Linked DNA regions of Rhinolophus ferrumequinum. The protein of the gene in region 2 binds, or shares a complex with, the protein of the main gene of each other region. Links are inferred from orthologs where the notes say so. Each region holds a gene or a part of one and is shown on either strand. Other genes may lie near its edges.

Evidence for each region.
Region 1: TCTN1 (region 2) and MKS1 share a complex: the UniProt entries of both Homo sapiens proteins name them as parts of the tectonic-like complex. The link is inferred for Rhinolophus ferrumequinum from reciprocal best matches to the Homo sapiens genes TCTN1 and MKS1.
Region 3: TCTN1 (region 2) and B9D2 share a complex: the UniProt entries of both Homo sapiens proteins name them as parts of the tectonic-like complex. The link is inferred for Rhinolophus ferrumequinum from reciprocal best matches to the Homo sapiens genes TCTN1 and B9D2.
Region 4: TCTN1 (region 2) and B9D1 share a complex: the UniProt entries of both Homo sapiens proteins name them as parts of the tectonic-like complex. The link is inferred for Rhinolophus ferrumequinum from reciprocal best matches to the Homo sapiens genes TCTN1 and B9D1.

Annotation. Positions count from the first base shown.
Region 1 is NC_046304.1:27,437,704-27,445,564, forward strand, and holds the start of MKS1 (tectonic-like complex member MKS1), read left to right. Parts: upstream 1-4,845; 5' UTR 4,846-4,851; coding exon 4,852-5,009; intron 5,010-5,160; coding exon 5,161-5,292; intron 5,293-5,717; coding exon 5,718-5,821; intron 5,822-6,931; coding exon 6,932-7,002; intron 7,003-7,436; coding exon 7,437-7,592; intron 7,593-7,861. UniProt on the Homo sapiens protein: Component of the tectonic-like complex, a complex localized at the transition zone of primary cilia and acting as a barrier that prevents diffusion of transmembrane proteins between the cilia and plasma membranes.
Region 2 is NC_046308.1:6,243,217-6,250,336, forward strand, and holds the start of TCTN1 (tectonic-1), read left to right. Parts: upstream 1-4,112; 5' UTR 4,113-4,173; coding exon 4,174-4,393; intron 4,394-4,509; exon of another isoform or gene 4,510-4,674; intron 4,675-6,022; coding exon 6,023-6,143; intron 6,144-7,120. UniProt on the Homo sapiens protein: Component of the tectonic-like complex, a complex localized at the transition zone of primary cilia and acting as a barrier that prevents diffusion of transmembrane proteins between the cilia and plasma membranes.
Region 3 is NC_046298.1:39,663,875-39,671,571, reverse strand, and holds the start of B9D2 (B9 domain-containing protein 2), read left to right. Parts: upstream 1-4,684; 5' UTR 4,685-4,768; coding exon 4,769-5,028; intron 5,029-5,498; coding exon 5,499-5,590; intron 5,591-7,697. UniProt on the Homo sapiens protein: Component of the tectonic-like complex, a complex localized at the transition zone of primary cilia and acting as a barrier that prevents diffusion of transmembrane proteins between the cilia and plasma membranes.
Region 4 is NC_046304.1:160,425-168,059, reverse strand, and holds the start of B9D1 (B9 domain-containing protein 1), read right to left. Parts: upstream 3,003-7,635; 5' UTR 2,829-3,002; coding exon 2,766-2,828; intron 1,121-2,765; coding exon 1,052-1,120; intron 1-1,051. Other genes in the region: tryptase gamma-like, read right to left, coding at 3,814-4,041, 4,661-4,827, 5,363-5,622, 5,703-5,853, 6,635-6,665. UniProt on the Homo sapiens protein: Component of the tectonic-like complex, a complex localized at the transition zone of primary cilia and acting as a barrier that prevents diffusion of transmembrane proteins between the cilia and plasma membranes.

The DNA.
Region 1 (7,861 bases), on a different chromosome or scaffold from region 2:
TTCATTACCACCTAATTTCAACACCAAGAGCTGTAGCCACATGATTCTTTTGAGAGAAAAGCCAAAAACTTGACTCAAAATTATTGTTGCAGATATGAATATAGACTTGCAAAAGGTCATTGCTGATTTGGGGAAATTCAGTGAACTTGAATGACCTTAAACTTGAAAGAATCCCACAGTTGGCAGAAAGTTCTGCCACTTGTTAGAATTTACTGAAGAGATTAATTTCTTTGTATTTCCAGGAGGATACCAAGGAAGGAAGAAACACAGAAGGTGAATTTTAATGTCCCCATATTTTTAAAAATGGAAACGTCTTCTTGGAAGGGGAAGGGCCAGAGAAGCTAATGTCAGCAGAGTCCTACTATTTGGACACTCCTATTGCTCCAAGTCTTGACATGTCACTGAAGACCTGGGCTAACCTGTTGGTACACACTGTAAGGAAACGAGGGCTTCCCAAAGTAAAAGCAATTAATTATCAGAAGCTGAAATGTTTCTTGGGAAAAGACAGTTGAGATCTGGCTTTGACATATAAACAAACTGTTTCAGCGTCTGAGCTTCTGGGTACTGCTGACCTACTTTATTCTCCTACTGACTATAATAATGTCATGCCCATGTGGTCCCACCAGTTTTACCTGTCGACACAGTGCGCGGAAGGGGCTGGGAAAAGGTAGGGATGCTCACTCTCTGGGTGCCCTGCGTAAGTTAGCCTGGGTTTAGCCCATATCAGTGTTTCCTGGGATCAGCTTTCCAAAATGTACCTGTAGCAGAGGCTGTTGGTGTCCTGCCCAGGTCCTCTTGAGCAGCCGCTATCATGTTGACCGTTAACAGCTCATACCTACACCCATCTCAGGATTGCCCTTGGCTGATGGATGCTCCCTAGCCCAGAAATCCAGAAATGCTTAACAGGATTCCATTCCGCTTCTTTCAGGGAATCAACCAATTCTCCAATGAGCCCTGATTGCTTTGTAATGGAAGATGGTATTTAGAAACCAAGGTCTGGGTACCGGGAGTGCTCATTTCTACTGGGGAGTCACTGCTTCTAGACTGTCTCACTGGACAGAGCTATGAACTATATGTGTGGATACCAACTCATGCATATATACGTACATAACTATATTCATTTATGACCCTGTCTATATAGAGAGGGTGCCAAAAAATATATATGCACATTTTAAAAAAGGAAAAAAATGTATTAAAATTATGCTGATGGTAACCATTTTGAGCACCTCTTGTAATTGCAGAAGTCAAACGTGACTTGTATTCATCTTTTGGTATCGTTATATATTGAGTATTTCAATTTTAATACAGTTTTTTACTTTCTTAAAATGTGTATACTTTTTTTGGCACCATATATATATATATGTATATATATATATACACACACGCATATATATGTGTATCTATATATGTGTGTGTGTGTGTGTGTGTGTATATGTGTATTCTAGTTGGTAAATTTGTTTCTCAGAAGGGTATGGGTTAGCAATTCTGAAACTACTTTATATGTATATTAAGGTTGAAAAAATAAGTATATATATGTATATATAATAGATAAAAATATATTATATATACTTATAAAAGTATATAATATATAAAAATATATATATACTTATTTTTTCAACCTTAATATACATATAAAGTAGTTTCAGAATTGCTAACCCATACCTTTCTGACAAACAAATTTACCAACTAGAATATATCATTTGCGGATTTCTTTTTATCTTTAGCCTTCAGTTTCCAGTCAAAACACTGTTTTCCAAAGTTACTTAGGGTGGCTCCTTTCTTTCTCACTCCCTTCAGTGTAGCATATGAGTCATTTATAACAGTTAGATTCATTTTTTATAGTTTACATTACATTTTAGGTACCTCTCACAACCTGGTAAATAGTTTACAATTTACATACAGTAAAAGTCACTCATCGTGACACACAGTTCTATAGGTTTTAATAAATGCAACGAGTTGTGTACCATCACAACAGTTCCATATAGAACAGTTTCATTATCCCCCAAATTACCTTATACTGCCCCTTTATAGTCAACCCCTGTTCTCAAACCCAACCTCAGGCAACCACTTATCTGTGTTCCAGCTCTATAATTTTTCTTTTTTTTCTATAATGTCATATAAAAAAAAGCCACACAGGATATAGCCCTTTGTGTCCAGCCTCTTTCATTTAGCACAATGACTTCTGAGAGTCATCCATGTTGTTTTACTTTGTTTTTATTGTGGAGTAGTATTCATTGTATAGATATTATATGACTTGCTTAAACATTTACATGTTGGTAGACATCTGGGCTGTTTCCCATTTTTACTATTGCGAATAAAGCTGCTATGCACATTCACATTAGGTCTTTGTGTGGGTATATGTTGTCTTTGCTTTTGAGTAAATAATTAGGAGTGAGATTGCTGGATCATATTGATAGGGTGGGTAGAAAGGTAGAAATGAGCAGTAGAAGGATGGAAGCTGCTCTCACTTGGGGTACAAACACCTTGCTTGGTGAGCAGGATATTGAGAACAAGATATATCACTAGAAGAAGGAAAAATGCCTCAAAGGGAGGGAAACCATCCTGCTTACCAGAATATACATCCTGTTTCTCAGGGCCATTTTAATGAGCTTCTCAAATAAATCATGGGAAATTAACGGATTCGTAATTACACCCTGAGAAACAACCTTGGGAACCAGAAGGGAGGATGGGACACCTCAGCAGAGAGAGGGGGACATTATAGAGAGGAAGAGGGGGAAACAATTCTACCCATAGAAATAAAAACCTCTCAGAACGTAAGGAGAGGTGGCTTCCTTCTCTTGGGTCAGCCAGCTGCATGTCTTGGAGTATACTCACTTTTACTAATAAACTTCTTGCTGTCTTATGAAACACAAACTCTGTATCTTGATTGAATTCTTTCCTTCAAGAAGACAAAAATCGAGGAAAACGTCATTCCTGATAACAGTATGGTAGGTAAATATTTCACTTCGTAAAAAATGTCCTGTAATGATATTCTTCCTCTTCCTCTTCTTCTTCTGCTTTCCTAAAGTCTTGTAGTAAGGAGAGCCCAAGTACATTATAAAGTCACAACTGGGGAGGGGGAAGGGCTATTTTAATGTGGTTCAGATGGGACTGGTTTAGGAAAGAAAAAAATTGGGGGAGGGGTTGGGGATGAGTAAATATAAGGACGCAGCACAGTTCAAAGAAGAGCCCATAAGTTTGAGTCAGAACATCTGGAATGTCAGTCTCCAGGCTCTAGGCTTCCTACTCATAAAACCGTGAGAAATTTGATTAATGTCTTGGTTTACAAATATGTGAAAAGGAGGCAATAATATTTACACTTCATGATGGCTTATGTAAGTGTTTTCTAAACCAAAAAAATTTTTCCAAATGATGGAATGTGTTATTTTAGGGAGAACTCAGTAAATGTCAGCTCTGAATCATCCTGGTTGAGAATGAGGGTGGAAGGATTGCTGGTGGTGGTAAAACGGATTTTGCTCTTTATGCTATATAATCTAAACTTTAGACTTTTACCAAGATATCAGTGTATAAGTGTAGTGGGGATCAGGCCATTCTTGATATCAGAATACAAACTCCTTCCAGAATCTGATAAAAGCCATAAACTCCTTCCAGAAAATGCTCCCCACAAAATTCTAGGAAAGAATTCATAGACTCCTTGAACACCAACACCACTTACGGACTCTGGCTTTAAGAATACGGCTTTACAGGCACCAGAAAATAAAAAATAGAATTTTACATTCTAGAATTTCACAATAGAATTTTATAACCTAATTTACCTGTATAAAAATAATTCAATTATGGTTACTTATACAAATAATATATTTCCATACCATTATGGTACAGTAACTATTTTGTTTATAATTATATCAGATTGACTTTGCTGTAAGTTTTATTTGGTTATAAAACTAAACTGTTGATGCAATCTCCACCTTTATCATTTGTTGTTCATGTGGCACAGTGTTGTATATTCACAACTTTAAAAGGAAAAATTAGAGAGACTATTTCTGAAGAGCTAGTATTCTGCTTCCATGGTTTTATCAGTTGAAATAATTATTTCCCAGGTTGGAAATTCTGTCCTCTTAAGGAACAATCTGGTAGGTGAGAGGTTTTGAGGTTCTACCTCAAAAGGTGTTCAGGCTTCAAAAGAAGGTGTAGAAGGTGTTCAGCCTTCAAAAGTAGCATCTGGCTAGAATCCGATTTCCTTCACCACTTAGAGTTCTACCTAAACAAGCCCTTTTAAGCCCTGGCCTTCACTAACTTCATCAGTTAAATGGGAATAACAATACCTACTTAAGGGATGTCTATGGGGATTAGGGACACTATAAACGAAACACTCAGGCTGTATTAATGATAAATAATAGTGCTATTATGGTGAGTTCTTTGTATTACACAACGGTAATGCCATATAATTAAACTGGCATAAGATTCCTGACTTCAGGGGACAATTACTTTGTCGGGAGGATCACCAAATGACACGACCTTTGGAGGTTATGGTGTATCCTGCCTTTGACAGTCCTTCATTCAGCCTGACTTCTGAATAGTACTTTGTTGGCTTTTCAGAAGGCCCGTGCAGTATCTAAGGTCTTAAAAATCCGGAACTGACACGCAGGGGAAAACCAGTTCAATAACATCTTTTCTTACCTTACTGTTTTTCCTTTAGTAAATACCAACCCAAGCAATAATAAATCTTCTGACATTTTTTTTTTCGGTCCAAGAATATATTTTTCATGTCTGAGTAAGTGTCATCACCTTCCCTGACCCCTTTGGGAGAAATGGAAACAGCCTGTGAGTCACGTCCACCCATTTTCAGGCCAAAGTTCCGGAGCATTCAGTGGAAGTCAGTGTAGTGTGATGGAAAAAGTAGTGGTCGGGATTCAGGGACCTAGGTTTGGTGCCCATAACCACTTAGGAATCTTTATGAAAGGGGCCCAAATGGCTCTGCTTAGTTTCCTCATTTGTAAAGTGCATCAAGTCGGCCTGGGTGTGAGTGAGCTTTGTTCGCACAGGAGGTAAGCGGTACTTCCGCGGGGCCCCAGCCTGAGAGGGGCTTTTGGCCTTGCCCAGGCTTGCACCCGGCTGACCGCTGCGGCGCAGCGCCGAGAAGCGAGAATTGCTTCGCAGCATCTCCTCCGCCTCCCAACCCAGCGTCTGCGTTGCTAGGAAACTGGGGTCGGCGCGCTTTCCGGCGCAGTCGCGGCGGGTTGCAGCTGTCATGGCGGAGACCGTCTGGAACACTGACACGGGGGAAGCTGTGTATCGCTCCCGGGACCCCGTGCGCAACTTGCGCCTCCGGTAGTCGCCTCGCCTCAGAGCCCCGTGGTTTCATGCTGTCAGATAATTCGAGCCTGAACGTCACTGCTCAGTGTTCGGCGGCCCCCACTTCCGCTTATAACCCTGCTCACTGCCTCCGCGGTCTCCCTGCGTCTCCCCTCACTACCCGGAACCCTCTCCACGCGCATCTTCCAGACTTACCCAAGCTCTTTCAAGTCCCTGCCCCTCCCAAATTCCTCGGAGCCCTGTGTCCCCAGCACACTCTGTCATCCTTAGTCTTCCCCTTGGGACCCCGCGCCCCACTCACCTTCCCTCAGTTGCCTGCACCCCGCACACTTTGGTAGCCCCACCCTCTTCCGTGTCGTGTTTCCCCCATCTTTGCTTCATGTTTATCTCCTGGTTGTGTGTCTTGTAACGAGTATTTTGGGCTTCTTTTTTCTTCATAGAGTCCACCTGCAAAGAATCACATCAAGCAACTTCCTACATTACCAGCCTGCTGCCCAGCGCGGGAAGGACATAGACTTGGCCACTTTTAGGCCTCAAACCGCCAGTGGGTGTATGGTGGGGATGTGTCCCCTTGGGGATCTGGGAATCGCCCAGGGTGGTAGTTACCTCTTAAGACAAAATAGACGGAGGGCTGTAGTCTGCGAAAAGGCGTAGAGAGGTTGGGTTTCTTGCCCAAGGTCGCGCAGCTGGTAAATGTTGAAGTCAGGATTTGATCGTAGGCCATTTTAACTGCTATATTATGTTGTGTATGAAAATTTAATAAGACATGATTCTTGTCATCAAGATACAGATGGTAATTATGGTCAAATGTAGTGAAATACCAAATACCACATTTTAGATATGTTATAAATTTGCCCGGCGACTTAAATTCCATTTGTGGCATTTCTTTTTTTCTAAGAGAAAATATGCTCCAAATTCTAAGTATACATATAACACTTTTAAAAACTATTTTAAAATTGGAGTCTGCTTGAAAAATGTGCATATTAACATCAGCTGTGCACTTGCAGTTTTCCTTATCCGGGAAGCCAGAAGAGTGCGGAAGAGAGGGCAGTGTGCTTGTGTTAGGCCACTAATCTCTTTTGTTGATTCTGTTCAAAAAATATTCCTGGGAAGAAGTGTGGGCTAGTGGGTTGTGAAGCATGTATCTCTGAAAAAGGCATACTCAGCTAGGAGAGTATTAGATTTGGTTTTTTATATAATATTTACTTGCCTTTCCTCTTCTCTCCTGATACTTGGTTTCCTACGGTTACAGTGTTTGTGATTCTAGATACATGGCTTCAGGCATAGGAATGATAAAAATGCCAGGGTTTCCTTTCTAGCAAAGGTGGACAGTTGGGATTGAGGACGAGCTATTCAGCTTAGATCTAAATTTCAGCGCTTGACACTGAATTAGATTAAATAATTCCTGGAAGGCATGACTTCCTTTTATTCAAATTAGAGTAGTGATTAAGACATATTGGTTCTTAATCCTGGCTTCTACATACACATCCACAGTCTTTCCAGCCTTTGTCTAGAGTGAGTGCTTAATAAATCACTGAACTCCAACTGGTTTTGTGGCAAATATACGAGCAGTGACTTTCATTATAATTAATCACAGAGCAAGAAGTGGTTCTGGTTTGACCCAAACATTTGACTCACTCTGTTGTCTTTGGAGGTGGACACCGCCCAGATGAAGATGAAGAGGAAGAGGTCTTGATTGGGTGGCAGGAGAAGCTCTTTAGTCAGGTGAGCCAGTGTCACTTGTCTGCTTGGTCTTCTACCTGGTCCACCTCCACCTGGATGGTATCAGGGAAAGATTCTTGGTACATATTGTCAATCTGATTTCCAGAAAGCTTGAAGCAGTTTATACTTTCCCCTGTTGTGTTTACAGGGGCAGTAACATACTGACTGTCACCACCCAGTTTTATGATCCTGGGCGAGGATTTTTCACCTCTGAGCCACATATCATCTGTAAAAGTGGAGTTGGATTAGACCATCACTCTGGTTCCTTTTAGCGCTAACATTCTTTGGATCCCATACCCTCCATTAGTTTAGATAAATGAGAGTTGACCATGAAAATGTATCAGATCGTTTCAGCTGTATGGAACGGCTTTAATTAAACAGATGTAGGAACAAAAGTTTGGTATATTCTCAGAAGATCTGTTTCTTTGTGATCTTAGTTTGAAGTAGATCTGTACCAAAATGAAGTGGCCTGTCAGAGCCCTTTGGATCATCAGTACCATCAAGAGATCCTGAAGCTGGAGGACTCAGGTGGCAGGAAGAACCGACGAATCTTTACCTACACTGACTCTGATAGATACACCAATTTGGAGGAGGTATTGTTCTTTCCGAGGTCCCATAGCTTCCTTCTCCTTTGGCTCCCTGAGCTTTCTGGCCTCACTGGGTGCTTTGTGTTAAATCAGCAGCCTATGAAGGGGCGACAAGAGAGCCTGTCTAGGAACTGCCTTGTGCCGCTGGCAGCCAAGCTGGAGCAGAGTAGGCACAATCTGCAGGTGGTGTGGCTGCTGCTTCCTTCTTCCTGCTGGAGGGCCTGGAGGACCTGACAGGGTTTCTAGTGTAGGCTTGCAGACTACAAACCGGGAGA
Region 2 (7,120 bases):
GGCCAATCTCTTCAACAAATGGTTAAAAACTGGATATCCACATGTAAAAGAATGAAGTTAGACCCTTACCTGACACTATATACAAAAATTAACTCAAATGGTGTAAATACCTAAATGCAAGGCCTAAAACTATTACATTCCTAGAAGAAAACTGAATCAGAGAAAAGCTTGAACATTGGATTTGGTAATGATTTCTTGACTATGACACCAAAAGCACAGACAACAAAAGGAAAAATAGACAAATGGGACTACATCAAACTAAAAAACTTCTGTATATCAAAAGAGACATTCAACAGTGAAAAGACAACCTATGGAATAGGAGAAAATGATTGCAAATCATATATCTGATAAGGGATTAATATCCAGAATATATAAGGAGCTCCTACAACTCAGCAACAACAAAATGCTGATTAAAAAATTGGCAAAGGACTTGAATAGACATTTCTCCAAAGGAGAGATACAAATGGCCAATAAGCACAAGAAAAGATGCTCTACATCACTAATCATTAGGGAAACGCAAATCAAAACCACAGTGAGCTATTACCTCACACCTGTCAGGATGCTACTATCAAAAGAAGAGAAAATCATAAATGTTGGATGTGGAAAAGTTGGAACTCTTGTACATTGTTGGTGGGAATGTAAAATAGCGCAGCCATTGTGGAAAACAGTATGGAGGTTCCTAAAAAAATTTTTAAACAGATTACATTTGATCCAGCAATCCCACTTCTGGTATACGTCCAAAGGAATTCAAAGCAGGGTTCCAAAGAGATATTTGCACACCCATGTACATAGCAGCATTATTCACAATAGGTAAGAGGTGGAAGCCACCCAAATGTCTATCCACAGATGAAAGGATAAAGAAAATGAGATATACGCATACAATGGAGTATCATGTGGCCTTAAAAAATAAATCCTGTCACCTGCTACCACCTGGATGACCCTTAAGGACATTATGCTAAGTGTAACTTGCCAGTCACAAACGGACAAGTATTGTATGATTCCACTCATATAAAGTAGCTAAAGTAGTCAAAATTAAAGAAATAGAAAGTAGAAAGGTGGTTACCAAGGGCTGGGGGGAAGGTGAAGGTGGAATTAGTGTTTAGTGGCTACAGAGTTTCAGTGTTGTAAGATGAAAAAGTTTTAGACATCTGTTTCACAACAATGTGAAAACACTTAGCAGTACTGAATTGTACACTTGAAAAATGATTAAGATGGCAAATTTAATGTTGTATGTTTTTTTTACAATCATCATCATCATCAAAGGAATGGATTGTTGATACTCATACATGCAAGATGGATGAATCTCAAAGGCATTAGGCTAAATGAAAGAAGTCAGGCTCAAAAGGCTGCATTCTCTATGCTTCCACTGATGTGACATTCTGGAAAAGGGAAAACCATAGGGAGAGAAAATAGATCAGTGTCATCAAGGGCTGGGATGGCGGGAGGGACTATTAAGGGGCATGAGGGAACTTTTGGGAGTGGTAATATTGTTCTATGCCTTGATTGTGGTTGGGATCACATGACTGTATGTGTTTGTTAAAACTCATAAAACTGTACACCAAAAAAAATGTACATTGATGCATGAGAAAAACCTGGATATCAGAAACTGTACATAAAAATTTATACTGTATTAAGTTATCCCTCAATAAAACTAAAAAGAAAAGTGGGGTAAATATGACAAAAGTTCTAATCTGCATGGTCTTGGTCCAGTGTACAGTGTTCTTTTTTGTACCTTTCATTGTGATTGAAATGCTTCAATCTGAAAATAATAAAAACAATAATGATTCTTAAAAAGCTAACTAGTTTATTCAAACTGCAGTATGGTCTAATAGGACGCAAGTTTAAAGTTGTCTGATAAACAAGGAATTCTTATTTCATTCCTGTCAGTGTTATGTCTGTGACCGTATTTATAACTTCATTTTCAGAAAAGGTCAAACTTGTACATTTGAAACCTTTCAAGATAGTGAAGTCTGCTCAATAGGCCTTCTTGCCCTCATGTTTCAGACAACATCTGAAGAGCAAGAATAGCACTGGTGGTTGACTAAGCACTTGGGGAATGGGAGGAGTAGAGAAGTTGAGGATTGCTTTCTTCTGAGTGCTGATCTAGAAATCTATTGCTAGATTGCTCACTTCAATCAAAACAATAGAGTCAATCCTTTGTCCTTACACAGCCTGGACCTCCCTGTAGGTCTAAGCAATCCCTTTATAAAGCTTGATGATTCTGCCTTCTTATTTGTAAAATATTTGGCTCAGATGAATAAAGATGGGTAGATATACTTGATCATAGGAAAAACTGTTTCTAAAACAGCTTAGAAACTATGACTCTAGCGATAATAATAATAATAACCAATTCATCCCAAACCACAGGAAACACCAAGACCGACTGGTTAACCCGGCCTTGTAAAGTCAGCCTTAGCTATTTTTCTGCCTAGCTAGTACTTCTGTCTTTGGTTTGTTTTCAGCCTCCTCATATGTGGCAGCTTCCAAGTACAAAATTCCAAAAAGCTGAATTGTCCTGATTCCTCCCAATGTTGGCACAGACTATGAGGAATTGAGAATGCCAATAATCTAGGAGAAACAGATGGACATTTTTAATCACAAACATTTACCCTACAACCTAAATGTTGCAGTTTTGGACAAAATATGGAAATCTTAGCCCTTCCTTGTGTCCTTCCATCCTAATAAGGGAACCTACCAAGGCCAGGGGAGAAGGAAGGGAGAAAGGATCATCTGGGTTGAAAGATGAAAAAAGCGTGGCAGAAATGGGTCACCTGTGAAATGACAAGTTTAGCGTTCCCAAGGTTTGCAAAATGGATCTGAGGTGATTCAACCCTCATTTCGATTTTCTAAACTGTCATAAAATTACGTTTGGGTCATCTCCCAAGTATCTGAGAGTGGACAAACGGGGTGGTGAGATTATTTCCTAAACCATAAAGCATAAAGATGACAATGTTAAATTTAATCTAACAGCCTAAAGTTTCAAAACAGAAAATAGGACAGAGTGATTCACAGATATTAAGGAATAGAAAAGAAAGTATCTAGAAGTAAACAGGTTTTTAAAAAACAATAGTGCTGGATTTAGAGTTATGGGATGAAAGTTTGGAAAATATAGTTGTTGTTTTTGTTAAAGGTAAGCATTACATCAGTTATTAAAAGTAGTCCAGAATTTCAGTCACATGTTAAAGCAATCCTTTGTAGAAAATAAAAAAGGAAATATCAGTATTACACATTTGATTCAATTACATTTTTATACACTTTGGAATGCCACAGAAAAGTACTAAAGATGTCCCTTTGATGATTTAGCTTTGCTATATAAATTCAATAAACTAGATATATATACTGTTTGGGCATTCTTCTAAACTGGTAAATGTGTTTTTTAAATAAATACCATGATATGTTTAAGTATTCTGACATTTACTTCTGAATTACAAGGATATTAAGTATCAAAGGTATTGCAAACATCCTGGGCCGGAGTATCTCTGTACATAAGTCACTTTGGAATGGAGGGGCTCCCCTAATTTTGTAGTCTTCAAGTCATTTTTAGAGTTACAGAGTTGCTTTGATTTTTTTCCTTTTAATACTTGTAAGTCATTCCACTTAATTTTTGTCAATGTTTTTTGACTGTAAAAAAGTTAAGTGTTCATTTGTCCCCTTTATCACAACACAACGAGCTGAAGTTATCTGGCGACCTGCTGCGAGATAAAACAAAAAAGGCAAACCAAGTGGTGACAGTGTGGGATAGAGAAAATTCAAGGATGGTGATGTCATCTCTGTGCTCCTTCAAAAGACCTTATTTAGTAGCGTCCCAAATTTCTGTCCCCCCACCGGTTGCGTCCGGACATTTGTTGAAAATATTGATTCCTGGACCCTGCCCAAAACTGTCTGAGTCAGAATCCCCTGAGATGGAATTTGGAAATCCGCATTTTTTAAACAAGCGCCCCAGTCGGCTTGGGAACCGCAAATCTGATATACACAAACCTCTAGTCTCCGCCGACCGGTCTCTCACCGCCCCTTGTCGCACAGTCCCGCGGTGGCCCGCCTCACCCAGGCCCCGCCCTCAGCCCCAGTCTCGCGTGTCTTCGCAGGATACTTCCCGTGAAGCCCCGCGCCGGCCGCTGTGGTTGCCAGGCAACGCGCGGTCCCTACCGCTGGCCGCACGGGTTCGCGGCGGCGATGTCGCCCCTCGGCTTCCATCCGCTCTTGCTGGTACTTATGGACTGCTGGGCCTCTGTGCGCGCCCAGGCCGGGGCCACCCTGGCGGTGACGACGGAGGCTCTCAACTCTACGGAGCCATCCCCGACGAATTTCCGACCTGCCTTGTCTCCTAGGCCCCCGGGACTCCCCAGGGTCCCCGGGCCCTTCTCCGGTCCCAGGCCCACCCCAGTCACGGATGGTGGGTACTAAATGCCAAATCCTGGGGATCCAGAGTGATCCATCCTGGAGGGGTAGCCCGGATGAGGATGTAATAATAATGATAGTTACCGTTTATTGAACACTTACTTTGTGCAGGCATTGCTAAGCGTTTCATAGGCATTAATTCTCTCAACAACCTTCAGAGGTAGATATTATCCTTGCCATACAGATGAGAAAGCCGAGGCTAACAGAGCTTTAATTGGGACAATATCAAATCCTTGAAAGTACTTGCAGAGGTCTTGGACAACATTCATGCGCAAGGTAATAATAAATGAGCCTTTGCAGCCAAAGTCGCAATTAAACCGAAAGTGTCTAGACAGTTGTGGAAATTAAATGCATAGGATGCACTGAACTTTTCACTTACCAAAAAGAGACCCCAAAAGTTTACCTTACTAAATGTAACCAGGTGAAATCTCACTGTCTGTTAACTTGAATTATGAAAACCCCGAATTCCTCTTGTGTTGAGTTCGAGATGGGAAGTTGTGGGGTGAAGGGTTATGTCCACTTTTTAGGATTCATCTTTAAAAAATTAAAAAACTTAAGTGGGAAAACTTTTGTGTTTCAGACTACGAGAGGATTTTGTATTTATTGACAAAACCTTCCCTTTGTCCTTACACACTTCTTTCCAGAGTATGTTATTGTACCTTTTTTGAGCTACATTTTTCTAAAAGTCATTTTTATTATGAAATAATTCATACATGCGAATAAGAATGTTTTATGGACTCTCTTCCAGCATTTACTTGAGATCCTTTTTTTGGGGGGGGTTGTTTTTGCATGAAATCCTTTTGAAAAAAAGAAAACATTGCAGGTTAATATTGAAGTGCTAATGTGTTTCCTGCCTACCCAGAAATAATTACTGCTATGAGTTCAGAGTTTATCATTCTCATGCTCTGTTATTTCTTTAAAAGGGGTTCCCACCCCCCATTTGACAGATTAAAATAGGGAATTAAAAATCCAGATAGTCGTCATTATTAAAAAATTAAAAGTTGCTACCTTTCCCCATGCTTTATTGTCTATATTACTAGAGATATTCCTACGGCCCCAAGTATAAAGCACTTGAGTCATTTTGATTCTTGGCCAATAAATAGCCTGCTAATGTGGGCTCAGCCTCAAAACTGCAGGTGATGTCTGAGGAGAGAAAGAAGATTGAGAACCTTGATTCCTGGTGGCCTTAAGTGGGCCCTTCCTCTGAATCAATCTCTAGGGGAGGAATTTGGGAATCTGCAGTATTAAACCGGTGGTTCTTATGGTCAGGCAAGTGATTTAGTTTGCTGGTTCTTAAACCTGTCTGAGTTATCAGCATCACCTGGAAAGTTTTTGAACAACACGGATGTCTGGGTTTCACAGTCAGCTTACCAGATCAGAGTCTTTGTATATAGAGCACAAACAACGTTCCAAGTGAGTGAGATGGTTGGCCACTTTGGGGAAACCCCAGCTTGAGGAGTGCTGGAACTGATTGATTTTCACTTCGTAAATTTCCCCCAAATTGCAATAGGAAAAACCAAATGGGCCTTTTGTATGAAATGGACTTTTGGTACATTGCAGTGGCAGGGGGCGCGGTCACTACCTGCAGATTGTGATGCTCTGTATCCCACCTGTCTTTCTGTAGTTGCTGCTCTTTGTGTCTGTGACTTGTCCCCAGCACAGTGTGACGTCAACTGCTGTTGTGATCCCGATTGCAGCTCCATGGATTTCAGTGTCTTTTCTGCTTGCTCAGTTTCAGTTGTCACGTAAGTTTGTGACACATGCAGTTTTGATAAAATCGGACCAAGATTATAAACTTTCAGGACGGAAAGTGAAAACTCCCCCAGGCTAAAACACCCAAACCTGATTTTCTGAGTTTTGCATCATTCAGAAGCCATGTTGTCCAAACCTGTATACAGAAGAGTTATCTATCCCTTATTTGCATCCAGCCAGATGATAGTGCAGGCAAAAGAGAAGAGAGTGTACTTTTTAAAAAGAGTATAACAAAATCTTTGTGTTCAAAGATGGAATTACATTTCAGTTTGATTTGTAAAGAGATAACATGTCACATTTTTGTATCAGTGAATTAGTTGTATTTACAGCCTAGGGTGAAAGGTACAGTTCAATTTTACAGCTTTTGTGGTGGACATAGTACTTATAACAAAAAAATTAAATAGTCAGGTAAGCTTTGTTTATATTTTTCTGATGTGTAAATCTACCAGGAATTCTCACAGTTCACATCATATAGGAAAATAATGGAAAATGACATTCCCAGTCCATTACACGGTAAAGAAATAATCCTTTCTGAATGATCTGTTTCTCCTAATTCAGATTTCAAAACTTCTGGGAAAAAACAGCATTTAAAGAGGCTAATTTATTCAGGATGGGATCAACATACTATTCAAAGATAGCCAATTTAAATTTAACCTTGTAGCAAGTGGTAGTAATTGATACTTGATAGATTGAAAGCTTTTTGCAAGTACAATGTGTTTTTCCCATGAGAAACTATTTTACTGACTAATGGGAAATTGAATTTACTTCTAATGTTGTAAAAATGCTTGGAGAATGGGATGTTGTAGTCAGATTATTTTTTTCTGGCTACCTGGACTACACCATGGTTTAGTCTATGTTGAAAATTATCCTGCTTTCCTGCCTTAGGAAGTACTAGGAGCCTGAGAGTGAGATTTCTGCCCCAATTTGAGATCATTCTTTAGAATATCAGTTCTTTTTTATTAGCCAATAT
Region 3 (7,697 bases), on a different chromosome or scaffold from region 2:
TGAGGCGGAGACTACTGTATATGTTTCTGTTGTTTGTCGTTTCAATCCTCTCAATCAGTGTCACCTGCAGAGGGCCTGAGATTTGATCTGTTGTGTTCGCTGTAATGGCTCAGGGCCTAGAACAGCATCTAGCACAAAGCAGGCCTTTAGTACATATTAGTGGGATGGGGGCATGAATTCCCACCAACCTCAGTTTTTTACCGAATCTCCGAGTTCTATGGGTCCCTTCGTCTCGCTAGGCCACCCTTGAGATTCATTCACTTCCATTTAGATCTCTCTGGCCACCATCAGCCTTGTACAGTCCCCGCAAATGCACCCCTTTTAGGGGGTCACAAGAAGCCCAGGCCTTTTAGGGTTTGTGATGGTCCTGGAATACTAAACATGAATTTCCAACCAGGATCATCAGTGGAGGCTTAAACCATTGATGAAATTTCAATGAGGAACAGGATATTTATCTAGTCTCAAAGTATCTTCCCACAGATGACTTATTATATTTTTACAAAGGGGAAAAATTAGTATTAATGGAGAAGACTGGCAGACATCACCTTAAGGTGTAGAAGTTGACGTCACTAGTTTGGAACAAATAGACTTCATTCCCCCTGGTATGCACTGAGAAGGACACAACATCATGTCTGGTTTTCTTGCTCAAAATCCATCCTCTGAACCTAACCACAAGAAAACATGAGACAAAGCCAAATTGAGGGACACTCTATAAAGTGTCTGGCCTGTGCTCCTCAAAAATGTCACTGTCACGAAAAACAAAACAATAACAAAAAATTTAAAACCTGGCAGGCCTGTTCTATATTAAAGGTGAGTAAGGAAACATGACAACTAAATACAAAGTAGCAGATGGTGATAAAGCATGTTATTGGGACAATGGGGGAACTTTGAATATAAACAATAAATTAGATGATCAATGTTGTATCAATGTTAAATTGATACTGTGGAAAATGTTTAATTGGTATTATGATTATATAGGAGAATCCTCCCTTGTTCTTAGGAGGATTTGACTGTTGGAAATAATGAGTTATGAAATATATATATATATGTTATGAAATATATATATATGCAAAATATATATATGCAAAATAATTGAACAGAAACTTCACAAAAGAGGAAATACAAAGAACAATGGACATTAATAAAAATACTCAATTAGTCATCAATAAAATGCAAATTAAAATAATAATTCGATATCAATACACACCCGCCAGAATGGCCAAAATGAAAAAGAACTCCATCACCAAGTGTTGGTAAGGATGTGGAGAAAGAGGAACTCTCATACATTGCAAATTGGCCCAACCACCAGGAAAACTGCTGGACAATGCCTACTATAGCTGAACATATCCTATGACCCAACAATTCCATTTCAACTAGATGTGAACATATGTCCAACAAAAAGACAAATTCCCATCAACAGATGGATAAATAAATGTAGCATCTCCACACACAGGAAACTTATAAAGCAATGAGAATGAACAAGATCTACAGCCCGAAGCCAAAGCACAAATGAATTTCGGAAACAAAATTCTGAGCAAAAGGCGGCAGACACAAAACAATACATACTATGTGATTTCATTTATACAAAGTACAAAAACAGGCAAAATTAATGCATGTTGTTAAAAGTCCAGTTAGTGGTCACCCTTGGGGGCATCCTAGAAGACACATGACGAGCATCCTGGGGAGCTGCTTGTGTTCTTTTCTTGAGCTGAATTACCATGTGAGTACAGTTCATGAAATTTGACCTCGCTCCTTATTTTTGATTTGTGCACTTTTCTGCACATATATTATACTTCAAAACAGTTATTTTTGAAAAAGAGTAAGCTAGATCTTTGTATACTGACATGGATAAATTTTCAAGATGCTTCACTGAGTGAAAAAAGCAAGATGTAAAACAATATATACAGTCACTATGGAAAACAGTATGGCAGTTCCTCAAAAACTTAAAAATAGAATTACCATATGACCTAGCAATTCCACTTCTGGGTATACACCCCAAAGAACTGAAAGCAGGGTCTTGACGAGATATTTGTACACCCATGTTCATAGCAGCATTATTCACAATAGCCCAAAAAGTGGAAGCAACCCAGTGTCCACTAACAGATGAATGGATGAACAAAATGGGGTGTGTATATACAATTGAATATTATTCGGCCTTTAAAAGGAAGGAAATTCTGATATGCACTACAATATGGATGATCCTTGAGGATATTATGCTAAATGAAATTAGCCAATCATGAAAGGACAAATACTAAATGATTCTACTTATACAACGTACCTAGAGCAGTCAAATTCATAGAGACACTAAGTAGAATGGTGGTTGTCGGGGACTAGGGAAGGGAAAGATGGGGAGTTTTTGTTTCATGGGTACAGTTTCAGTTTTGCAAAATGAAAACAGTTCTAGAGATTGGGTGCACAATCATGCGCATGTACTTAATGCCACTAAATGGTTCAGAAATAAATTTTATGTTATGTATATTTTAACAAAATTTTTAAAAAGTTAAAAATAAAAAGCAAAAAGTACATATTCACTGTGCTTCTTGGAAAAATATGTAAAATATTTCATTTCAGTAACAATAATAAAAACCAGTAATCACAGCAAATATTACAGTGCTTCCTATGCGCCAGGCACTATCCTGAATTCATTACGTATTTTATTAGTTATCTGTTACTGCTGCATAACAAATTATCCCCCCATACTCAGTGGCTTAAAACAACAAATATTTATCACTGACATAGTTTCTGTAGGTCAGGAATCTGGCGCCAGCTTAGCTGGTGGTTCTGGCGCAGGGTGGCTCATGAAGCTACAGTTAGCATGTTGGTCCAGTGCAATAGTCATCTGAAGATCTGACGCTGAAATATCTGTTTCCAAGACCGGTCACTCACATGGTGCTAGTTGTTGTCAGGAGGCCTCATGTGGCCTCCCCATGTGGGTCTCTCCATTGACTGCTGTACTGTTGTCACCTCATGATGGCTGGTCTCTCTCAAAGTGAACCATCCAAGAGAGAGGGAGGAGGATGCCTCGATGCCTTCTATGGCCTGGTCTTGGAAGTCACACAACACTTCTACCACACTCTATTAGCTAGAAGTGCAGCCTTCACACAAGGGTAGAGGAATTAGGTTCTACCTAAAGAAAGAAAGGATGTCAAAGAATCTGTGGACATATTTTAAAACAGCTTCATACATTCATTAAATCTTGACAATAGTCTTGAGGTGGGTACCATCATTCATTCTCATGTTACAAATGAAGAAAATAAGGCACTGAGGGCTAAAGGTCACACAGAAGGGGCAGAGCCAAGACTTAAATCCAGGCAGTTGACCTGGGAAGCATTTTTCTTAATTACTAATATCAGCCAGGGGGGAAGAAACCAATTAAAGAAAAAAATATTTAAGGAGCCCTGACAGGACTTGATGACTGATTGGATGTGGGAAGTGATAGCATCTAGATGACACCCCATAATCCTTTGATTCTGGGACATGTATCCAAGAGAGGTAAGATAGCAGAGAGGTTAAGAACAAAGTTTTGGGACAGAGTCAAATGGAATTATGATCAATTTGGCTTAAAGCGAATGATTTTGCTCTATTTTTTTCATCTTAAATTAAGCTGATAATATTACTTACCCAGCGACATGTCTGACGACTAAAGGAGATTGTGTATGCAAAAAGATTAGTTTTGGGGGGCTGACACAAAGAAATAACAACACATGGTAGCTTTCAAGCATACCTATAGTGAAATGTTATCCCATTGAATAATTGTCTTTATATAAATTTTTTTTTGTTGTTGGGGAAGGGAAACAGGACTTTATTGGGGAACAGTGTGTACTTCCAGGACTTTTTCCAAGTCAAGTTGTTGTCCTTTCAGTCTTAGTTGTGGAGGGCGCAGCTCAGCTCCAGGTCCAGTTGCTGTTGTTAGTTGCACGGGCGCAGCCCACCATCCCTTGTGGGAGTCGAGGAATCGAATCGGCAACCTTGTGGGTGAGAGCCCACTGGCCCATGTGGGAATCGAGCCCGCAGCCTTTGGCATTAGGAGCACGAAGCTCCAACCGCCTGAGCCATCGAGCCACCGGGCCGGCCCCTTATATAAATATTGTCCTATTGAAATGTTGCCCCATTTTGCTAAAAAGTAAGGGACTAAGAAGCTAAGTTCCCTTTGGACTCCTGGTCTGGGCTGGAGGAATAAAGCACTATGGTTAAACTCTATTTAGAAAGCGGCAAAGGCACTGCTCAGGAAATCAGAATGAGAGCCTCTGGCTCAGTCACTGTCCTTGTGTCCACTGCGTGGATGAGAAAACTGAAACCTTAGAGCTGTGCAACGTCACACAAGTTACTTGGCAGAGTCCAGTCTTCTAGAGCGGATTTTCTGCAGATAAAGGAGCCTCAGTTCCTCATTTTTACCACTTCACCACACCCCACCCCTTGCTCAGAATCAGCACAACAGAACTGGGCAGTATTTCTGAGAGGGAAGTTGGATTATCAGTCCCTTGGACCCTGGGGAACTTTAAAAAAGGAAGGAAAACCCCCTCCCCAACTTGAGGAAGGATTTTTTTTTTTCCAGTCATGAAGCAGAAGGGTGCATTCTTCTGAGGGGGAGTCCCCCTTGGCACTGGCTCAAGTCGCTGGTTGGTGGTCCCCGCTGGAGAGGAGTTTGGAGGGGTATGGGGAATCGATGGACTTGTTTATTTTGTTAAGACAGTTATCTGGGAAATACAGTTTGCGCTCAAACTTCCTCAGCCACACTCAAGATGGCAGCTGTTAGGCCACGCCCCAAATGCCAGAACCTTGCGTTGTGACTGGGAGACGCTTTTCCCAAAATGGAGAGAACGTCCATCACACCTTAGCCCCGCCCCCACAGGCAGCAGGGCCAATAAGGCAAGGAAGGGAGGCTGCTGTTGCCCTAGTAACAACCAGGGAGGCCGAAGGCGGGCGCGACGGCGAAAGGCTCGGCACCTCGGATCTCTCGCTGTCCGGAAGGTCCTGGGAGAAGCGCGAACTAGGCCTGGGAGTCAGCGCCCGCGGAGAGAGGGTCAGGTCAGGCCCATGAACTCTTACCCCCGCTGCCGCTTTCACCCCTCCTAACCGTTAGGTGTTCTGAAATAGGAATAGCGCATGCGTATGCTTAGAGGCGGGGCTTTGGTGGTTCTGCACTTAAAACGCATGCGCGTCAGGGAGCTGGGGGGAGCCGACGACACTAGGAGGCGGAGCTTTTGTGCTTGTGGGCGGGGCCTTGACCTTTGAGGCGGGGCTTTCCGTTGCACTAAGAGGAAGAGTTTATTTTAGGGGCCGGCTGAATTAGACGCCAGTTCCTCAGCCCAGCCCTCATTTTTTTCGAGACTCTCCTGGAAAGGCAATTAGGATCATGGTTCAGACCCCAGCCTCAGTGGTTTGACGAAACTAGCTTGGAATCCTAGTACTGCCCCTTATTTGGAGAGCCTTTTTCCTATCTGTCAGGTGGAAACAGTGTCCTTAACAGGGCTGTGATTATATTTTTCTCCTCTCAGGGCCATGGCTGAGGCGCACGTGATTGGGCAGATCGTGGGGGCCACCGGTTTCTCAGAAAATAGCCTCTTCTGCAAGTGGGGCGTGCACACAGGTATTGCGCGGGGCCTGGTTCATTTCCCCACCAAGACCCCCAGCCTAGAGGTTCCACCCTCTTTCCTTGACCAACTGGCCCTGTCGCTACTCCTTGTCTTACATCGGCTGTCAGCACTCCTAACCCTGACTACACTGTGTACATGTGAATTTCAGGCTCCCTTCTTATCCCTTCCCAGCCCATCTCTGGAGGCTCTGGCTCCCACCTCTGAACACATAGCCCTTAAGGATATGGGACTATAGGCTAGACTACACACACACACACTCCAATCCTCAGAACACCAGACAGCCTTAACCCTACTTCACTCACTGTCTCAGGGGTGCCCTGGGACCCTCCTCGCTCTTAATTCTTTGCTTAACAGCCTCCATTTATTGAGTTACTGTAAAATGGAAATTTCCATCCCAAATTTACAGAGAGACTACCCTCCTGTGTTCATAATTCTCTGTGAGAAGGTAGGAACCCCATTCTGGCAGTCATCCAAGTCCATCCACAAGGCCCAGGAGGGACCTTGAAGGGCCCAGTTTTCATGCCTCCCCATGGGAGGCAGTAGAGCCTGGTATAGTGTCCTGGCTAGGACCTCCAGATCTGGGCTCAAATACTAACTCCACCACCTATTAATTGGAGGCCTTTGGACTTAACCAAGCCTCAGTTTGCTTGTCTGAAAGTGAAGCTAATAGCAACTGAGAGGCAGCATAGTATTGAAGTTAAGAGCACAGACTGCCTAGGTTCAAAACCAGCTGTTGCTTATTAATTTTGTGACCTTGACACTTTCCCTGATTGTACATGGGCATAACAACCACCTACCTTATGGGGTGGTTATGAGGACTGAATGAATAACAATGGCACTTAGGAGAGGGCCTGGCCTAGTAAGTTCTCAGTGTCTGCCTGGCTTGTGTAAAAATTGGATGGAATCTTGTTTGTAAAGCCCTTGATATGTTGCCCAACACAGATAAATGCCCGTGAAAGGAATGTGGTTGTTGTCATCATCATCTCTTCCGGCCCTGGGTCCTTTGCAATTCCACTGGTGGCCAGGGTGGTGGTTGAGATTCCTTGGGAAACTGTGGTTCTCCAGGAGAGCTGATGAAGAGGCAGGCTCTGGAGTCAAACTCGGTTTCCATTCTGGGCCCCACCATTCACCTGCTCTGTGACCCTGAGCAGGTGCTTTCCCCTTTTGGAGCCTCAGTTTCCTCAATTGTGAAGTGGGATATTTGTCCCTCACAGGGGTGTTGGGAAGTATTGTATGTGAAAAGCCTGACTCAAGGCCTGGTGCTTTCCTCCCCTAGCCCAGAGGGAGCAACAACTCATAAGGTTTTTGTTATTTCAAGGAGTTGTTGTGGGGGGCATTGAATCCAGCAGAGAGCTTGGGGGCAGTTGGATAAAGGGCTTGGGCTCTGCAGTCAGACAGAGCTCAGTTTGAGTCCTGCTACACCATGGGACCTTGGTCTGCTGCGGTCCTGCTCTACGTCCAGCATGGGGATTAGTGCTTGGCACACAGCACGTGTTCAATAAATGTGCGTAGAATGAATGGACAACTGACTTTCCTTCTCAGCGTCTGTTTCTTTGCCTGTAAAATGGGGGTTATACAGAGGGTGCCGAAAAAATGTGTACACATTTTAAAAAGGAAAAAAATATTAAAATTGCAATAATATATACCAATAACAAAAGATGAACACAGGGGCGGCCGGATGGCTCAGTTGGTGGCAAGGTGGCTCAGTTGGTTAGAGCGCGAGCTCTTAACAACAGGGTTGCCGGTTTGATTCCCACATGGGCCAATGAACTGTGCCCTCCACAACTAGATTGAAAACAATGGCTTGAGCTTGGAACTGAGCCGCTGGTGGGTGACCGGTTGGCTCAGTGGTTGTCGTGCCATCCTCCTAACACCAAGATCGCTGGTTCAAGTCCCACATGGGCCAGTGAGCTGTGCCCTCCACAACTAGATTGAAAAAACAACGACTTGACATCCTGGAAAAACACACTGTTCCCCAATATTCTCCAATAATAATAATAATGATAATAAAAGATGAATACAAGTCACGTTTGACTTCTACAATTACAAGAGGTGCTAAAAGTAGTTATCATCAGTGTACAGACACTTCCGATTACGGCG
Region 4 (7,635 bases), on a different chromosome or scaffold from region 2:
CCCATCCTGCCCCTGGGAAAGGTCAGGACCCTGACTCTGACCTACCACGCCGTCTGAGACCTGCCTGTCTGTGACCTCCCTGCTTCATCCCCAACCACTCTCCTTGCTCACTCTGTACACTGGCCACACTGGCCTCCTCGCTGTTCCTCAGACGTGCCAGGCACTCTCCTGCCTCAGGGCCCTTGCACTCTCTGCTCCTTCGACCTGACAAATTCTTTCCCCAGATTTCCACATGGCTTATTCCGGCCTTTCCTTCAGGTCTTGACTCAAAAGCTACCTTCTCAGCAAGGCCTTACCTGGCCACCTACCCATTATACCTTCCCTTCCTGACTACTTTCTCCTCAGCACTTACTACTAGCTAACATACTGGAATGTGTCTGTCTTCCCCCAACAAGAACGTGCACTCCAGGAAGATAGAGACTTTTGTCTGACTTTGTTCCCCACTGGATCCCCGGCACCCAGAAGACTTTTAATAATTATTCAGTCAAATGGGTGTACAGAAAATAAGAACCGTCATCTCACTTGCACGATGAGGAAACAGAGAGGTTGAATGAGTTGGGTCTCTATTTCCTCAACTGCTGTGAGGATTAAATGAGAGCTCTGCAAACCATAAAATGTGATGCAGGCCGAAGCTGCCACCACAGTCCTGCTCCTGGTGGAGACAGAGTGTTCCTTGGGACGTCTGAAAAGGAGAGCTCCGGAGTCCTCCCCACAAGCTGAGGAGAAGCCAAACAACGAAGGGACTGGCCCACAGTGTCTATTGGCTCAGCCGCTTCCAGGCTGGCTCTCTGGGGCCCGCCCGCACTGCCCATGCATTTCTGTTTGCTGCCATGCGCACGAGGGCTCGTGAGTGAGCACAGCCTCAGATCACGGATCAGTGAGCCCAGTAATGTTTGTGTTTTCCACTCCAGCTTTACCAGGAACCAACTCATGGATGGGTCCCCCCCTGAACTGGGTGGGTTCTAAACTGGGAAGAGAAGGGGTACGACTGACACCTTCAGAAACGCCAACAGTCATGAAGGCTGTAAAGGAGGCCTAAGGCCCAGCTTACCGCTGTGGGGGCCCAGTCCTGGCCATACACAAAGCAGTACTTGCAGTAGAGATCATCGTACTCAGGGAACTGTGGAAACAAGCACACACAGGGTCTGTTTATGGGAACTCGTGTGAGGCCAACATGTTAGCTAGGCAGGTGTAGCCAACAGTCATTCTGAACGTGAGACCCCTGGGCTGGGATCTAAGTGACAACCAGGAATGTGGACATGGAATTGAGCACTGGGGCTCGACATGTGGGAGTTCCACGGGTCCCGAACTGTTACCGCCCCTGGGCCTCAGCTCAGCCTCCGCCTTTTGTCTGACATGCCCTTCCCATTCCTTCCTCTGGCAAACTCCTACTCATCCTTCAAAACTTACCCTTCAGGGAGCCTGCCCTAACTTCTAGGCTGTCTGAAGGGCCACCTCCCAGCTCCTTCAGTCCCTGGTGCTTCCCTCCAGCAAAGCACTTGCCTGTGTTTATTCCTGTCAACCCCATGAAGCTGTGAGCAAGGAACAAGTCTGATGCCTTTCTGTGTCCCCAGCACCTGACACAGAGGAGGTCTAAGGGAATGGTGCTGAAGTGAAAGGTCTGACAATCCAGGGGGCTATCAGCGCAGGGAGCATAGGCCTGAAGAGTGGGAGGGGCCGGGAGCTCTGAGAGGGGGAGGCAGAGTGGGAGCGGGCTGGGTGCTGAGAATGCTACACCTGACCCAGTCCAGCTGAGAGCCCCAAGTGAGACAGAAGAGGGGACGATGGTCTTGGGCACTAGGCCAAGGGGCAGGAGGACAGGGTGGGAATATGGAGGAGCATCCCTGACGAAACAGGAAGGCAGTAAGACACCTACTAACACTCAGGCCCTGGCAGAGCTTTATCTAAACCATCTCCATTAATCCTCACAATGATAAAATAATAAACACCATCTCCAACAGCCTGGAAGGGCAGTGGAGCAAAGCTTTGGTGTCAGAAAGACCTGGATTCAAGTTTCCAGCTTTGCCACTTCCTTTGGGCAAGTTTTTCCATCTGTAAAATGGGGAAGTAAAATGAAGTAAGATCTACTTCACAGGGTTGTGAGAACTGAATGAGCAATGCTGAGCTTCGAGTATGGCACACAATGAATACGTACTTAGTAAACTTTATACACCACACACACACACACACAGACACACACACACACACACAAATGGTTCTTATAAAATGTAGGAGGATGGATAATGGCGAGTAGCATCCCCTGGCGTCCGACAGGCACACCCTCCCTGGGTCATTCCAGGCCACCGCCATCGTTGGATCAATTAACTTAATCATCTCCATTCCCAGCCAAGTTCAAGGGTCTGAGTGTTCAGAGTGCGGGGCACTCGCAGGGCACCGGACACGGGGCAGATGCCTCGAGCTCCGTTACGAGAGGACAAGGCCCAGTGTGCTGGCCGCGCCTCCGCTCCTCCGGCGAAACCCGCGCGAGGCTCGCTGTGACTCAACAGAAGGCGCACGCACGATCGTCGCGCGGGGCCGCAGGCTCGGCCGGGCGCGAGCTCGGTCCCAGCTCCGCCTCTGCGGGCACATCAGGGTGGAGGGCTCCCAGCAACCTCGCGCCAAGACTCTCAAATGCTGGCTCCCTTTCCCCGCAGAACCGAGGCATGACACGCCTCTTTGGGGCCACACAGCGGCCCAGGAGGTTGCGGGGCGGGTCCCCAGGGGAGCGTGGGGGTGGGACCGCGGCGGGGTCCACGGCCGCTCACCTGGGCGCTCTCCACCTGCCCGTTGACCATGAGTAGGAAGACGCTGGGGCCCGCGGCCGCCATGGCAGGGGGCGCACGGAAACCACCCGGGTTCCGCGCGCGATTGCCCACAGGCGCCGGGGTTGCCCTGGAAACAGATGGCGTGGCGGGCAGAACACGTTTCTTGAAAGCCCGACCTTCGAGAAGGCGAGCGTACGTGGGCGGCGGTGCGCAGGCGCAGTCCGCGGCCCCTCCCTCCTCCGGGAATGCTGGGAGAGTCCACGCGAGGCAGGGGCGGGAGTGGGGGCCGGGATGCGGAAGCCAGCCCGGCGCCCAATCCCGTCACAGCCGCGGCCCTGCCCCGCCCGAGCGGGCCTCGGCAGCGCTCGGCCGGGAGGCGGCGCTGCGGCTTCATCTCGGGGCGACGGGGCGGGGCCGCGGAGGGAGGGGCGGGGCCGCGGAGGGAGGGGCGGGGCCGCGGAGGGAGGGGCGGGGCCGCGGAGGGAGGGGCGGGGCCGCGGGGTCTGGGGGGCCGGCTGGACCGGGCGCTCCGCGTCGGGTCGGGGGGACGCTCCCGCGGGGCTTTTAAGGCCGTCGTCTCCAAAACGTTTATTAAACAAAGATGGAGGAACCTCAGAGGATACTTGGAAACGAGTCACCGCTCCTCAGTGTGAAGGGGGAAACTGAGGCCCACGGGGTGAGCCAGAACCCACGGCTCTGTCAGGACATTGTTCAAATGACAGTTACTCCGCAGCTGCCCCGAGTGGGTCGCAGCTACTGTTAACACATTGATCCGGTTGCTCTTAGCTCTCATGGTTTGCATTCGCACATTTATTATTTATTATTGTCATAACTCGGACTAAGGCTCGCCCTCCCCGCCCCCCCTCCCCCCAGGGCCACCCTGATCTGTGGCTCCCTGGCACATCTTGTAACAGCTTGTTAGCTAGGTGAATACCTGAATCCATCTCCATCACACAAAGAAGGAAGCAGATTCAGGAGGGGAGGCGACTGGGACACAGTCAGCAGGTAAGTTTAGGATTCAAACCCAGGACTCCACAGGCTAAAGACCCTAACCGCCTCTTCCTGGGCCTGAGCCAGGCCCAAGGGTGCCTCTTGGCTGAGCTGTAGAAGCCGGTGAGGTGGCGTTGGGGACCTTATCCTGGATCCAGGAAACGAAAGGATACACAGGACTGTAGACTTCTGGGAGTCCAGGCCCCATGCAGGGACTCCAGGTCATTACGCCCTGCAGCAACCAGCTGCGATTTTGGGAGCAGATTAGGGGAGTCCCATCAGACACCTGTGCCGGAGAGGAAAGGACAGGTTACAGCCAGCCCAGACCCACTGACCCCTCCCTCCACGTGAGCAAAGACCTGATTAGGGGGAGCCTGGGCAGCCAGTGTTCCTACCTCGGTCGGGAGAGGCTGGATGAGTGGGGCTCCTGTGCACCGCAAGGCTCTCAGGCAGGGATTTCTGCTCCCAGGGACTTGCATATTCCCTTTCCCAGCCCTTCAGTGTGTCTTCCCAGTTAAAATGCTTTCCCCCACAAATTCTACCACTGTCACCCAACTTTTTCCTCCTTGTGGCTTTTGAGGCTCAGTATTACACAAAAGTCAGTTTTCAACAAAATGCTTGTGATTATCAAATAACCAGGGGGCTCCCAGTAGTTTACAACCTGGCTATGTCAAAGGCTGCCTCACATTTGAATAGGACCTAACGGGGGAGACACCCCAAGGGTGGGAAGCTCTGGGGTGGCCATCAGGGGTGCAGATAAGCCGGTTCCCTGGGTTTTGTGGAATGGGAGACCCCAGGTGGAATGAGAGGGTAACCAGGCCTAGCTCGATCAAGTCTAGTGGGACTAGGAGGGACTGAGGTGGAGGGCACCTCGGGACCAGCAAGTGCCAGGCTGGGATCCTCACCACCAGTTTGAGGGCCCCGGGGAGGGGCCTGGAGCACTGGGAGCCTTTGGACAGGCCGACGTTCAGGTCAGGGCAGTCAGGTCGGAGGCGAAAGGCATCTTTGCAGGTTCTGATGTGGAGCGGTCTCAAGGGGACACTGTGCAGTTCTTGGGGTGGCACGTAGGGATCTGCAGGGCGGTGGGGACAGACCCTCAGCCCTGATTGCTATCCAGCAGGTTTGCAGCAGTCCTGCCCTGCCAGTTGTTAACATACTGCAAAGCTTCCCTGCCTGCCTTGTCTCCCCCCCCCACACACACCCTCCTGGGCTTCCAGTCCTCTGGACACTCCTCAGCCCCACCTCTCTCTTAAACAGTCCTCTGTTAGACTCTCACAGTCCCCTCAGGAAAGCTTCAAGCCCACTGAGATCTGGGACACACTTCAGCCTGGGGAGGGGATGGGGACAGTGCCCAGTGCCAGCCATCTGGGCTGCGTGGAGCTGGAAGCTGACTCAGGCAAAGCAGGGTGGCAGGGCCCTGCCTCTCCCTCGCAAGTCTGTGTCCGTGAGGCTGACCAGCGGCTGGCCCGGGCAAGGTTGTCCTCTGGGGCTCAGGGACTCAGGAGTACTACCTCTGCAGGGTCCCAGCAACACGCCGGCAGTGCTCCTCGTCCAGTCCAGCCTCCTCACCACCCTCAACCATCCCAATCACCTGCTCCCATCCTTACCGAAATCAGGCTCGAACCCTTGGGCCCAGCAGAGCTGCCACTTGAGTAAAGGTTGAGGCCAGGTGGCCAAAGGCACAGGCTGCACGGCACTGCTGAGAGATGGTGGCCTTGCCAGCCGGGCCAGGGCCAGGCCACCGGACCCAGAGCCCTTGGGCCCTCCTGGGGACAGCAGCAGCTCCTCCACTCTGGACTTGCTCTTGCAAGTGTCCAGTGCCAGTCGATCTGGGCCCAGGGTCACACTGTAGTGGGACTGAGGCCAGCTGTGGAGAGTGGGAGGCAATGAGGCTACGGTCCTCCCTCCTGGGGCCCCGCTCCACCACCTCCCCGACCCTGCACACACCTGCCAAAGCAGTTGGCTCCTGTGAGGACCCACTCTCGGGAGATGAGGGCCCCCTCGCAGCGGTACCGGGTATCCAGGAAGATGCTTGCCTGCCAAGGCCACGTGTCTGGGCCCTTTCTGCTGTAGGTCTCAGCAAGCCTTGGCCCTGCACCTTGGGAGAATGAGGCCTCATAGCTCAGCTCTGGGTCCCGGCATCCTGGACGTCTCCCATTCATCTCTTTCCTCTCTGTGCCCCCATCTTTCCATCCAGGCCTCTGCTAACCTCTGCAGCCGCAGCTCCCACCTCTTGCCCCCCACCCCCGCCCCTGTTTGAAACCACACTGCCTGCAGTGGAATCCTGTGTGACTTAGAGCAAGCTACTTAACCTCCCAGAGTCTCAGTTTCTTCGTCACACCCACAGGGCTGTTGTGAGGATTAGATGTGATAATATATGTCAAATATTTAAAACAAGCTGAAGTTCAATACCTTTTTAGCTGTTTTTCTTATTAAAGGTAGTTCTTGGAATACTCATGCTTTGTTATGCCTCCAGGTGTATAGCATATCATCCCCCAGCTGCTCCCCCTAGACGACGCCTGTTCAGGCTTCAAACCCCACCTTTGTGAAGTCTTCCTTGATCTCTCCCCATCCCCCCACAATCTGCCCTCTGGGAGGCTTTCCTCCCCTTCTTGCCCAGGAGCTCATTACAGGTGGGGGTCCAGCTCTCCTTGCTTTTCTCTCACAGGATCATTGCTAAGGCAGCTGGGCCTCCCCCCACCTTGTTAATCTAGAAGGTCAGGTCTCATCTACGTGGAGCTCTTCCTTGCAGGCCAGACACCCCTACTCACTGCCTGTCACCTACTCTGTCCGGCACCCAGGAGACCTGGATTCTCAGCCCTCAAGGGATGGATCCCTTCCCCCTCTACTCCCCGGGCTCCCTACCCACAGCTCCTTACCAAACAGCAGGAGCAGCAGCAGTGGCAGCATTTGTAGAGGAGGCCCGAGTCTTGACTCCACTGGGTGTGGCCTCCTCCCTGTCAGCCCAGGAAATTTAACCACCCAATGCCCCCTCCCTCCCATACCCATGCGGCCCACGTCATAGGGCACAGGGGAACTGGCCTGGGGAAGAGGAAGCTGTGCGGCAGGGCCTGAACCATGGTGCAGACATCCTGCTTACAGACCTTGGCCCCTCCTGGTTTGGGGCCGGGGACCTCCTAGCTCTGGCCTGCTTTCCGTCTCAGGTGAGTGTCAGAGAGACCAGCCGACCGCGGTCGACAGCAACAATAATAATCCTCCCCCCACCTCTTCCCATCCCACAAAGCTCTGTAGCATCCATAGGACAGGGCTCCTTACAACAATCCACAAAAGCAGTGCTACCACCCCCTTTTATAGATGGGGAAGTCGAGGCTCAGGGAAGTGAAGTGACTTCCCGAGATCACAATGAGTTGGAACCAGAGTTGGGATTCGAAGTACGGCTGCTGTGACTCTTAAGTCTCCAGATTATTCCTCTCACAGCCCTTCCAGGTCTTTCTTCCTGGCTCAGCCTCTCAGCTCTCCAGTAGAGAGAGCTGGGGCCACGCCAGGAATGCCTGTTGGTTCCCTGTAGAATGGGACACAGGCCAGGCCCACAGCTGAATTTCACAAGTGACACAAAGCCCTCTGTGGCCTGCCGGGTCCCTCGGGTCCCTCCTGCTGCTGCCCCACCTCCCTGCCCCTCAACCTTGCAGTACTAGATGCCTGCACACACACTGTCCGGTTAAAAATCAAAAATCGTAAGCATTTGTTTTTGTTGGGGTGGAATTCACATGGCCTAAAACCAACCATGTCTATGTGTACAATCCAGTGGTGTTCAGTACATCATGTTGCCTTTACACACACTCTCCCTTCGCACCTGGAAGATCCCTTCCACCTTCACTGCTTGAAAGCTTCTTATTGAACTTCAAGATCCGGGTAAGTA